Xenopus tropicalis: one gene and its partners. The protein of the gene in region 3 binds, or shares a complex with, the protein of the main gene of each other region. Links are inferred from orthologs where the notes say so. Each region holds a gene or a part of one and is shown on either strand. Other genes may lie near its edges. The genes, in order: erh, drosha and dgcr8.

Region 1 (4,136 bases), on a different chromosome or scaffold from region 3:
GCAAGTATAACTAGGAAGGCAGCAGCAAGAATCAATTAAATCAATGCTACATCTTTTGCCACGTGGTGCCGCGTCTGATGCATATCATCCCCAAAATAAATAATTATCGCATTACAGTGAGTTTGAGTAGTTCCTTAACTTCAACAAAGGATGGATTATAACAAGATTAATTCCAACAGGGAGGTGATTTAAATCTGGGCTTTATGATCAGTAGGGAAGAAGGTCAAGGTAAGAACAATCTACTTACTTCTCTATATAGAAATATGTTAAATCTTTGCGTTTGCACACTTGCGAGAAAGGCACATAATTTTATTAAAGCCAAGGTTCCACTTGTGCTATTTAGGCTTAGACAGCAGAAAAATGCCACAAGGCGTTTATAATACGCAAGAGTCAAACATCCATTTAAACAGTGCTTAGTAACGTTATTTGTGTCACATGACACATTGAAACTTATGTATTATAAACAAAAAAATATGTACCCCCTTTTCCAAAATTAAAAAAATTAGAATTTGCCAAGGTGAAAAAGCCAAAGGATTTTGTGCTTTTATACAGGTTATGGAACTTTTAATATACTCAAGAGCCATAAACATCCTGTAGCCAATATGCTTACAGAGTGTGCTTAGTGATGTCATAGGTTATACTCGGTGCTTAGTGATGTAATCTGTCACATGACTTACTGAAAACTGTGAATTATGAAAACAATGTACCCTGTTATAAAATTACAATAACGATACATTGTTGTCTATATTATCTACAGTTTGGCCAATTCCCTACGGCATTGTAAACTAAACTAGAGACCATTTGCCTGCCCGTAGTATAACTTCTCCTGCCGGATTGTCTGCCTCCTCAAGACCCGCTCAATCAAACACTGGCCCCTCAGGCCTGAATCAACTACTTTACTGCGTCCCCACCAAACTGAACAGCCAGACCCTCCCACCTAACCGCCTGCTCAACAGCAACAAAGGGAAAAGCAGATCTGACTATAGTTCCAGAAGAAACAGGACTTTGAAGAAATGGAGAACAGTGAAAGTGTGGGGGGGGGGGGGGGCAGACACATGGGAGAAAGTGTGGGGAGCAAACAGAGGAAAGGGAACAAGGGGAACTGTAAAAGGGAGGTAAACAAAACATAAGCATGGATACAACTATGCCCCCTAGCCACCCTGAGCAAAAGAACAGCATACTGGCAACTATCCCCCACATCTGTGAGGAGGGGAACAAAATGGAGGCAGAGGTGGAACTATGCTACCCACAGGGCCCCCACACCACTTATATCTGTGGAGCCCTCCTGCCTCTCACACATTGGGATCCTCTCCCGCAACTCACAATATAACCCCGGGGGTTCAAAGGGGGGGTCTAACAGGTCAAGTGCTGGTCGAGAGTTTAGGTTCCAGATTCCGCCTTTGACCCCTAAGGCCTGCAGATTGTATTGAGGATGTACCCAGTACTAACATTTATGAAGATAATAGAAGTCACCAAGGAGTCACATGACCATATACACCTTCTGAAAATACAAGGTCATGTTTATCTTATCTATAAGAAGGGGTACATTAGTCACTATATACTTTAAATTTAAGGAAATATTAATCTTTATACAAATATAACTGGGGCTGGCCAACCTAAATGGGACAGACACTAAATGCCAGTCGGGGTAAGATTTGGGGAGAATGACTATACTTACATGCCCCGTGCGAAACATCGTCAGATCAGCCACACACCATTCAGGGCTGAATCGGCAGGTAAGGAGGTAGAAACAATAGGATTTCTACCTCCTTCTGCCGATTCAGCGGTGAAGGGAGATTTTGGTCAGAATTTGGTCAAAATTTTCAAACTGGTCCGATCGGCGAGTCGGCCGATATCAGCAGCTTCCTGCGATATTGGTCGACTCGCCGACATACCATACACGCACCGAATATCGTACGAAACCTCGTATTATCGGTGCATGTATGGCCACCTTAAAGCTGGCCATACATGGTAAGATTAGTTTGCTTCGCAAGGTTGCCAAGCAAGCTGATCTTCTCTCGATATGCCCAACTGAGGGTGGGCACTATTGGGCTAATCTAGTTGTTGGGCCCTGGGGCCAAACAATCGAAAGAAAACAGCGAGTATAGGCACGGGTGGATGCGGTCCCGATTTGATGGAAAAATCAAACCTGCCCGATTGAGATCTGCCCAATTTCAGGCCAGACGTCGTCAAGAAGGCCCAATAAGCAGATAAGCTGCAGAATTAGTGTAAAGGCCCAATATCGGCAGCCAAAATTAACCCATGTATGGCCACCATAAAGGTCAGTTACATACTCAGGGCTGGGGGAGGGGGGGAACAATTATTTCCTGGAGATATCAGAAAAAGCGGATATAAAACATAGCTCTGATCAAGGCTACAGTGATAATTGCCTAAATGAATGTGGGGGGGGGGGCTGCCTAAATCCTGGGCAGTAAAGGAGGTTTGGGCGGAAAACCCCGTGCTGTAAGGAATGTATAGAGTGCGAGTAACCCGTAGCTACACTTCCCTTCCTATCAAGCAATAAATGTGAGGCTAACATACCTTCCATGCATTCATTCACCGACTCGTAGTCTGCATAGGTCCGGCCCTCGGGTCTCTTGGTGGGCTGTACGAGTAGGATTGTGTGAGACTGCAAGAGAGAGGCCGTGTGAGCTCTACAGGCAAAACACAAGCAGAGGAGCAGCTGCAGAGCCCCGGGCCGAGGGGGGCCTCCATCGCTACATTATGGGGCCGCGCATCCCGCCCCCTGGAACTCAGGAGCCCGCCGCGGCCTGCAGCTGCTTCTCTGCGCCCTCACCCGCTAACAAGCCCCGCCGCCCAGCAGCCATTCCTACTCACCATATCTGCGCTTTCTACACACCGCAACTTAGCACCCGAAGCAGCAAGCAGGAAATGGAAAGTCGTGTTTCCGGCGGAAGTAGTTAGATTTAAACGCTCCAGGTATCATACAGCGAGACTAGTATGGGAGGTCGTGGCGGCCATGATTAATAAGGGCTCGGGGTGTAATATGACTGTACGTGTATTTTATTTATATAGCGCTGTATGTATGTATCGCTGTGCAACAGCACAATAATAAACAAGGGGTCATTACAATAATGAATAAAAAGTACAAGAGCTATGTGTCAAAGAGACAAGAGGATGGAGGTAACGCCTTAAACTATATAATAGTTAAATTTAATTGTTATATATTTTATTGTTATATATTTTATTGTTATACATTTAATTGTAAATATTGTTATACGAGTTTATGTCGTTTTCTGCGACGCTTTTCGCCTGTTTGTAACTACTAAATGCTTATGTGCGCCACAAAGGGGCGTGTCTCTGTCTTTATGTTTATTCTATCCACGCAGCGCTGTCCGTCTATCTACGTTCCCTACTGTGACGCCATTGTCCAGCTAACCCGGAAGTAGTCTCATGTAATGACACCATGGCAGCCGCGGCTCTGAGGCACAGCAAGATGGCGGTGCGTATGTGCGAGAGCCACTAAGGTTCCTGCGGGCTGTCAGAGTCTGTTGAACAAGCCGGAGCAGATTTTTGGGCTCAGCGGTAAGGAATAGCCCTGTGGTTCGTATTCGGTTTGAGCTGTTCCGGACCGGCTGTGCCTGTCTGTTAGTGTGTGAGTACCTACATTATTTATCGGTATAGTGCACTGATTGGCAACCTCGAATGGGACAAGTCTTGCTGAGCTACACCTGCCATGGGCTGAAGTATAGGCAGGGAGTAGTTTTGTGTATATGTTTTATGAGGCTATTTGTAAATGACAATAGTATAGGTAAATGTAATTTATATCCACTATGTGTCTGTATAGTTGTATACTGGCCCCAGTATGCATAGCATCATGTCCATTCCATGAGCACAGATCAGAGAGACCATGGAGTACATACCATAGCAAAGGATAAGCATCAAACTGCACAGGAAGGTTATATCTAATCTTTCTATTAATAGCTGTAGTTACTAATAGCATTAAGGGATATCAATTGGTAGGTGTGGGTGTCCCAAAGAGCTCACTGTCTAACTAAGAGTAGTGGAACCCCCCACAGACATGGGGAACACAATAGGTTTATGGGAGAGTAAGGGGAAAGTGTGTTAGCGGCTAATGAAACGCTTCCTTTAACAAGTGGTTTTATGATTGTTCA
Region 2 (3,649 bases), on a different chromosome or scaffold from region 3:
GATAGGTGCAAGGTTGCAGCTTTTTCATGGAGTCTGGGCCTCAGCAGTAAGAGATTCCTGGGTCTTAAAGGTTGTCCAAGAAGGGTATCGGCTAGAATTCCAGGAAAGACCCAGAAGAAATGTTTTTCGGAAATCTATACCTCCAAAAATTCCGCAAGCAGAAGTAATTTTTCAGGAATATGTGGATGCGCTCAGAGAATCAGGGGCAGTGGAGGAAGTTCCTCACTCGTCCAGGAGATCCGGGTTCTACTCAAAGCTTTTTCTGGTACGGAAGTCCTCAGGAGCCTTCAGACCGGTTATTGATCTCAGACCGTTGAACCAGTTCATCCATTGCAGACTGTTCAAGATGGAGTCCTTGGCTTCCATAATCCTCGCAGTTCCTCCGAAAGCATGGTTATTAAACCTCGACTTAAAAGATGCCTATTTCCAAGTGACGGTCAGTCGGTGGATTGTCTCCTGTATCGTTTTGGCTTATCAGTTGGCTGGCAGGGAGATCCCAGGGGATCTTAAGGCACATTCCACCAGAACAATGGCTACATCCTGGGAGGCAGAAGCCATGGCTCCGCCAGAAGCGATCTGCAAGGCAGCTAGATGGACTTCTGCATCTACCTTTATTCGGCACTATAAGCTGGATGTGTTGCAGTCCCAGGAAGCGAGATTTGGGAGGAAAAATTTTCAGGCAGTCGTTCCCTGAACGTTCTGGAATAAATTGATTAAGCAGCCTCTGCTGTCGCTCCCTTCTTTTTTTTACCTTGGGGAATTCCCAGTGTTGGTGAAGTGCTGCCATTGTGACTTGGGAAATAGAGAAATCTTATTTTCTTACCATAATTTTTATTTCCAAGTCACTCTTCATGGCAGCATTCACCAACTTCCCTCCCTTCAGATGCTTGGTTACTAAGACTAGGTGCTGTGGGAGGGGGGATGCTTAAATGCTGTGTTAACGCTTTCCTGTCCAGTGACCTAGAGGGGCGGGGATTACCCAGTGTTGGTGAATGCTGCCATGAAGAGTGTCTTGGAAATAGAAATTACGGTAAGAAAATAAAATTTCTCTATTTCCTATAGCAACCAATTGGGTCTTTGCTTTTGATTGTAGACTATTCAATTCTATGTGCTGTGCTATGGACCGTTGATGTTGGCTTACACACTATAATAAATATGCCCCTAAATATTCTTGGTTAGATGGGAGAGGTGAGATTTTTGGTAAACAGATGGCTGAAACGCCACAACCTTAAACATCGCTATGGCACAGTGCACAGCTCTTACAGTAGGGGATGGTATAACCTGCTTGGTCAAATGGCAGATGTCATTTTGGGCTAAACCGATGACAAGGATAAGACTGGCACCTTTAAACACCGCTAGGTGTATATTTTGTTTGCCACAATGTGCTGCCATTAGTTAGTTACAGATTGCTAGGTGCATGTGTTTTTGGTCATACCCTAAATTCTTATTGTTGTTCTGTTGTGGGTAGGGGAACTTTACATAAAAGAAGTAGTTGCTAACCTTCTCCTGAATAAGAGGACATTTCCTGAAAAGTTTTGTTGTATTGATCTTTTTATAATAATTATTGTATGCAATATTTTTTATCTGAAGTAGGTGATTGCTAATAAAACAGTTATAATGAACTCTACTTGTCTGTTCTATTTTCTCATTTTGTCTTGTGTAATTTTAAATTGCAAATGAGACCAGTGGACTTGAAATATTTAGTTCATAATGTTTTTATCTGCTGCATTTTTTTTCAATAGCTATTTTCTTTTTCTGTCATGTAGCCGAGAGAGACACCGGCATAGAGAAAGCCGAAGATCAACATCTACTGAGAGAAGTTATAGAAAGAGGCCAAAAAGGTATTAGTGTGTAAATTAAAACCATATAAACTTAGATAGATATGTGAACATTGTTAGCTTGTATACGTATTCATCATTATATAGGGCAGCTTAGTTTTGACCTTATGTATTTTCTTATGAACAGACATGCTAAAGAAATTAATATTTCATCTTTTTTTGTAGAGACAGTACAATTTAAGGGTGTAGCTTAAAGGAGACAAAAAGGTAAAATCACTAGAATGTACCAAGTTAGGCACACCTCCCAGTGCCCAGTTATTTTAGTTACTTGCCTTCTACCCTGTGCTCCTCTTTAAAAATTCATTAGCCCTGTGTACTGTTTGCTGAGTTTTACAAAAGTTAGAGAATTCTGTATTGCAAATGCACCGTCTTAGAATTGGCACAGGGGCACCTGAGGTATACTCTGGTATGCTTCAGGCAAGTATAGTCTATTGGTTTCTTTCTCTCTTGTCTATTCTTTTCTTCCTCCTCTCTTTTCCTGTAATTTGTATATTGTCGCAGGCTCTTATTCTGTTAACTATGCTGGTGTAAAATATGAATTAAAAATAAAACAAACAAAAAAAACTAAACACTGGGGAGTGCCTAAAGGTCCCTTAGACCGATTCGGCAGCTAATCGGTCCGTGTATGGGCACTACCGATGGGCCTGTCCGACCGATATCTGGGCTGAAATCGGCCAGATCTCGATTGGGCAGGTTAAAAAATCTAGTCGGATCGGGGCCGCCTTTGCCTATACCCGCGGTAATAATTCGATCGTTTGGCCTCAGGGCCAAACGATTGAATTAGTCTGCATTCTCCCGATATCGCCCACCCGTAGGTGGGGGATATCGGGAGAAGATCCGCTTGCTTGGCGACATCGCCAAGCGAGCAGATCTGAAGGTGTATGGGCACCTTATCAACCTCTGGTGATTTTACATTTTCTTCTCATGTAGGTATCAAGTCAGTATATAAAGTATCAAGGCAGCCTTGGCCCCTGATACAGACAGTAAATTATACCTTTGCTGTATTTTAGCAAAATTAGCTTGGGCAAAAACCTTAAAGGAACAGTAACACCAAAAAGTTAAAGTGTATAAAAGTAACAACAATATAATGTACTGTTGCCCTGCATTGCTACAACTGGTGTGTTTGCCTCAGAAAGACTACTATAGTTTATATAAGTTAGCTGCTGTGTAGCCATGGGGGCAGCCATTCAAAGGAGAAAAGGCACAGGTTACTTAGCAGATAACAGACAAACCCCCATTATATGGGGCTTATCTACTAGTTATCTGCTATGTAACCTGTGCCTTTTCTCCTTTTTTCCAGCTTGAATGACTGCCCCCATGGCTACACAGCAGCTTATTTATACAGTAGCTTTTCTGTAGCAAAAAAAACAGTTTTTTTGCAGAACAACAGCACATTATATTTTAATTACTTTAAATCACTTTCATTTTTTGATGTTACTGTTCCTTTAATGGCAAAACTTCTAACCTACCTGCTTCTTTGTCAGTCATATTTTGTGTAAGTAAATGAGTGTAGACTGGGCTTCAAATAAATTGCTTAGTGAAGAGACTTTGAGCCCTTCTTGTCTGGCACTGGCACAAAATGTGTTCTCCCCAGGCATTCGGGACCCTTTATCAATACAAGGAAACTAGTGCTTTATATCTGTATTTCAAATAACTCTTCTATACCATACAACCAATTGAATTGCACTATGCTAATCAAGTTTCTTTCTGTTTCAAGTCCATCACCATCAAGCAGAGAGCATAAAAGATCTCGTTGGGAGGAAGACAATGAATCTCTATCAGAGAGCTCTTCAGCAAAAGAAAAGTCCAGC
Region 3 (4,360 bases):
AAAACATGCTACAGCTAAATGATTTAGCTACAATTGCTTACCCTTATGCTCCCAGTGCCCAAGAAATAAGGTCTGGACCAGGTGACTACCCTGGTTTCTCGATGCAAGTACACAGGTAGGCCAGAGTTGTGGAATGTCATGATCCACCCATCAGGTAATGGTTCTGTTGGTGGGCGGCCTCGACCTAAAAAAATAGAGTGATAGAAATATTAATGGGGGAATTACCTAGACTTGATTTCTCTGTGAGAATTCTTCTCCCACACAATTTTATTAACAGGATCACCAAAGTGACAGACAATGCTGATTAAAACTTAAGGGGAAAAAATGAACTTATTTGCAACATAAAACCAATTAAAAAGGACAGTTTGAAAGTTACATTTCTTGTTGTTTTCCTAATATTTTCAAATATTGGCAGGAAGAGGCAGGGGATCCAATCGTAATGAGTATTGTCAAAATGTTATAATACATGCATAATAAAGGCTAATGGCACATGATGTGTATGGTGTACACTTTCAGCAAAACGCTTGCCGAGAATACGCGCCATACGCTCCTACCTGTGCCTGCACCTGAATGAATGGAATACGATTGGGTGCAGGCACATGTAGCCGAAGTCCGCATAAAACTGCGAGGCTACATGTGCCTGCACCTGGGCGTAGTCCATTAATTCTGGCTCAGGCACAGGTAGGAGCATATGGCGCGTATTCTCAGCAAGTGTTATTTGGCTAGCCAAAAATATACACCATTCGCATTGTGTGGCATTAGCCTAATCAGCAAGATTAATTGCCTGAAATTTCTACACAGTCTACACAACCCTTATTTGCATGGCAAATTAAGGTTTACCAGAAATAGGTTTTATTCCTAGCAAATTGAAGACACTAAGGTTTATGGCACACTATACAAACGCATAAATACATTTTCTTGTGGGATCAGACACTTACATGTATTCCAACTGATCATCAGCCAAACAGTTACCAGCAAAATATATTTTTCAGAGCATTCTGTAAAGTCAGCTGCATTACGCTTCCCTTTTCACCAGGTTTCAGGTCACTTATGTCAGAACGGTCAAAATCAGTGACAAATATCTGCTACTGTGTAGTCATCCTCTCTCTCCAAAATAGAAATTACCATCTCCATGTGATTATGGAAGTGGAATAAAACATTGCAATACTAGGGCTGACTTTGTACAATATTAATACTAGTAGGTTTAATAGGTATAATTTGGCCATCCATGCAAACTGAAGCAATCTATTTATCCTCCAGGTAGTGAGAATAAATGTTACAGGGACTTGTGGCCTCCTACATTAAAAAACTACCAAGCCTTATCTATGTGAATTAAAAATGTTTCTGTAAACAAGTTTTCTCTGGACAAACTGACTACAGTGCAATAGGATAAAAACATATACAGTTTAAAGTCAAAATCCATCACCCAACAAAACTTGAGACCCCGTGTGATAGTGAAACCCAAAACCTCACCTTTCTTCCCACTGAGTTAATTGAAACCAAGTGGGAGAAACAGTGAGGTAGGTTAAAAAAAAAAAAAAACCTAAGACACACGTAACAAATGTTTAACACACTGTGTTCTACTAAATTAGATTAAAATGAGGCAAACAGATAAAGGACATCCATAGCTTACTTTTTAGTACAGTTTTTATTTTGGTCACCATGGGTTGCACACTTGACTCTCCATCTGATTGATGATCACTATCAATATCATATTTTTCATCAATTCTTCGCTTTTTGGGGGTGTGAAGGGACTCTTCCAGAAGAGCATCCACATCGTTATCAAATTCATCCTGTAAGAAAAATCATCAGGAACATCCCCAATTCCATCCCTGTGGGGAAACAGAGCCCCTTCCTCTTATCCCTTGCAAAGACATATTATTTAAACCAAGAATGGACATCCTGTAGCTTTTCCATTTACGGTAGATCTATTTGAACACTCCACCCCTAACAAATTTCAGCTATTGGTGGGATGCAGAACATTTTGTTTCAACATCTGAAAAGCAGCAAGTCTGACACCACTTTCAGCACTTTCACCTGGAATGTGCTGCTGCTGTAAAACTCAAAAGGTAAAATAAAAACAGAATATAAATTTGCTACAGAATGAAAAAATTAGGCAACAAATGCGGATGTTATTGGTAACAAACATACAACGCATGGGATGTGCTCCCATAATCCACTTGTATTTATGTTAAGAAACATACCTCATAACTGTACATCAGGGCTTCTTCATCAATCTTATCTCTCTGGAGAATGGATTCCGATACAAATTCTGCTCCATCTTCATCGACATCCATAACATTTTCGGTAAAATCTTCAAGTTCATCCAGAACAGCATACTCTACTTTCTTTTCCTGATCAATTTCAGGCTCATCGTTTTTTTTAAGTGTAATTTCAACACTATCAGTAACATTACCATTGGTACTACCAGCAAAAGGACAAACATACATATCTCCATTTACACTGTTTATATTGCTACCTCCATCTAGGGAACCCTCACATTCCAATCCAGTGTACAGAACCTGTCTGTCTTTGCTTTTGCAACTCTCTGTAAAGCTTACACTAATCTTAACATCCTTTAGCAACTTAAGATCGGGGGTAAACCCTTTATTAGATGGTGCATGGCGAGCTGTTCTTGGCCTTTGGTCACTGTGAAAGGGATCAAGAACTGTAAGATGACTCTTGTAGGAGGATGACCCCTTAGTGAGAAGCTGTAATCCGTTGTTTTGTTGCAGGTCCCCAGCTGGGGTTTGTGACTGTCCATCACCACCAGAGCCAACGTCCATTACCTCTGCGTCACTGGACGTTTGCAGGGGAGGTGGTGGAGGCTCTTCATCTGGCGGCAGAGGAGGGGGAGAAGCAGGAATCATTTCCGTCACTTCATGTCCATTTACCTCTGGGAGAGGGGCTACTTCCTCACACTCCTCCATAATTAATACTAATTTAGCACAGAAAATCTACAACAAAACAGCTAGTTTACAAATGTAACTATAACCCTAGCATGCAACTGCCCAGCAATGTGAGTGTACCACATTACAATCAGTAGGTAACACTGATGATTCTGTTAAGCTGACTACATTGCTCTTTTCATTAATGTAGACAGCCTTCAGAAATACTGTCTCTATTACTGGAAATCACAATGTATTCAGCTTAATGAGAGCAAGCGCTAGGCATCAGACATCGTTGATCCAGACCTTCATGTCTACCTGTAACAAGAAGAAAAGAAAAGAGAAAAGAAAGAAACAATGGGGAAAGGGTTGCAGTCTCTTCCACATACACACAATAAACTGATGCAAAGTGCACAGCAGTATCCTTTATCAGTACAACGACACTATAATAAATTCATATATACATCTAGCTCTGATCAAGCATCGAAAGGCCTCACTTAAAGAGAAGAAAGAACATATATAAAATCAGCGCCGCCATAGGGTGGGGGCAGTGGTACCGGGCCCGGTGGGTATTTTGCTTTAAGGGGGGGGGCTGTGCTGCACTTTATTGGATTAGCGGAGCCCCTGCTGTCAGTAGAATGCAAAATTCGGAAGGGGCTTCCCTTAAGCTTCTATGGCACAACCAGCGGGAGGGAAACCGGTATCGTGAAAAGAACATGCAGGCACCCTAGCTCCCGCCCTGCCTTCCGAAGTCTGCAGCTTACTGACAGTAGGGGCCCGGCAATCCAACTAAACGCATACTGCCCAAAAGTTCCGCCTTGCCTAACACATCCCGTAGTCGCACAGCGCTACTTACACCTCCCGAAAAGCTGTTAACTACAGCCTCGGAGCCTCCAGTCTCACTGAAAATCTCAACGTCACAAGTCCCATCACGCGAGACTGGCGTCAAAACTACCCGTAAGCCAGTGACGCATACGCACTGCCTTGGGGGCGTGGCAAGTCGGCGTAACTCAATGTTACACAGTGGGAGGCTGCTTGTAAGTCAGCTCTCAAATTGGCTTTCCTTTACTCGCCCCTCCTACTTCTGCTACAGAACGGCAGTACATGTTCTCACCAGATCGTCTTTTTGCGATTTGACCAAAAATGAAATATTTCAGTACATTTTAAGCATTTTTTTGTCAACATAGTTATGTTTCTCTCGTCCTGTGCTAAGTAAAATTACTTAATGTGTATATATATTATATATGTATACACATACATACTCTTTCCATTGCATAGTATTTTGATTGTAGCATTTGCACAAAAAAGTTGTATTTTTCGCAACGAATCGGAATTCATTCAACCTTTGGTATGGCGACTATCTTTTGGCCAGGCTGGATCTGTAGAGTGCCATTGAGTCCTATGGAAGGCTTCCAAAATCATGCATTGAAGGTTTCAAAGCCAGAAAGGTTTATGCGCTGTTTACAATTGTT

What was found.
Region 1: the proteins of dgcr8 (region 3) and erh are in contact, whole or in part, in a crystal structure (PDB 7CNC), measured with the Homo sapiens proteins. The link is inferred for Xenopus tropicalis from reciprocal best matches to the Homo sapiens genes DGCR8 and ERH. Residues at the interface, in NP_073557.3 of Homo sapiens: Lys107, Phe108, Ser109, Pro110, Asp111, Leu112, Leu114, Leu115; in NP_004441.1 of Homo sapiens: Val8, Pro10, Thr11, Thr18, Tyr19, Ala20, Glu27, Lys34, Met35, His39, Arg42, Met43, Phe60, Leu64.
Region 2: the proteins of dgcr8 (region 3) and drosha are in contact, whole or in part, in a crystal structure (PDB 5B16), measured with the Homo sapiens proteins. The link is inferred for Xenopus tropicalis from reciprocal best matches to the Homo sapiens genes DGCR8 and DROSHA. Residues at the interface, in NP_073557.3 of Homo sapiens: Asn728, Ile731, Leu732, Lys734, Leu735, Gln736, Glu738, Met739, Lys740, Leu742, Ala743, Arg746, Arg750; in NP_001369437.1 of Homo sapiens: Leu984, Leu987, Phe988, Thr998, Tyr999, Thr1001, Ala1002, Ile1003, Gln1005, His1008, Phe1069, Asp1073, Leu1074, Glu1076, Val1077, Trp1078, Asn1080, Pro1082.

The regions. Positions count from the first base shown.
Region 1 is NC_030684.2:109,825,581-109,829,716, forward strand, and holds the start of erh (enhancer of rudimentary homolog), read right to left. Parts: upstream 2,947-4,136; 5' UTR 2,842-2,946; coding exon 2,839-2,841; intron 2,630-2,838; coding exon 2,542-2,629; intron 1-2,541. UniProt on the Homo sapiens protein: May have a role in the cell cycle.
Region 2 is NC_030682.2:84,236,177-84,239,825, reverse strand, and holds part of drosha (ribonuclease 3), read left to right. Parts: intron 1-1,766; coding exon 1,767-1,841; intron 1,842-3,555; coding exon 3,556-3,649. UniProt on the Homo sapiens protein: Ribonuclease III double-stranded (ds) RNA-specific endoribonuclease that is involved in the initial step of microRNA (miRNA) biogenesis.
Region 3 is NC_030677.2:155,329,213-155,333,572, reverse strand, and holds the start of dgcr8 (microprocessor complex subunit DGCR8), read right to left. Parts: upstream 2,931-4,360; coding exon 2,205-2,930; intron 1,794-2,204; coding exon 1,634-1,793; intron 185-1,633; coding exon 42-184; intron 1-41.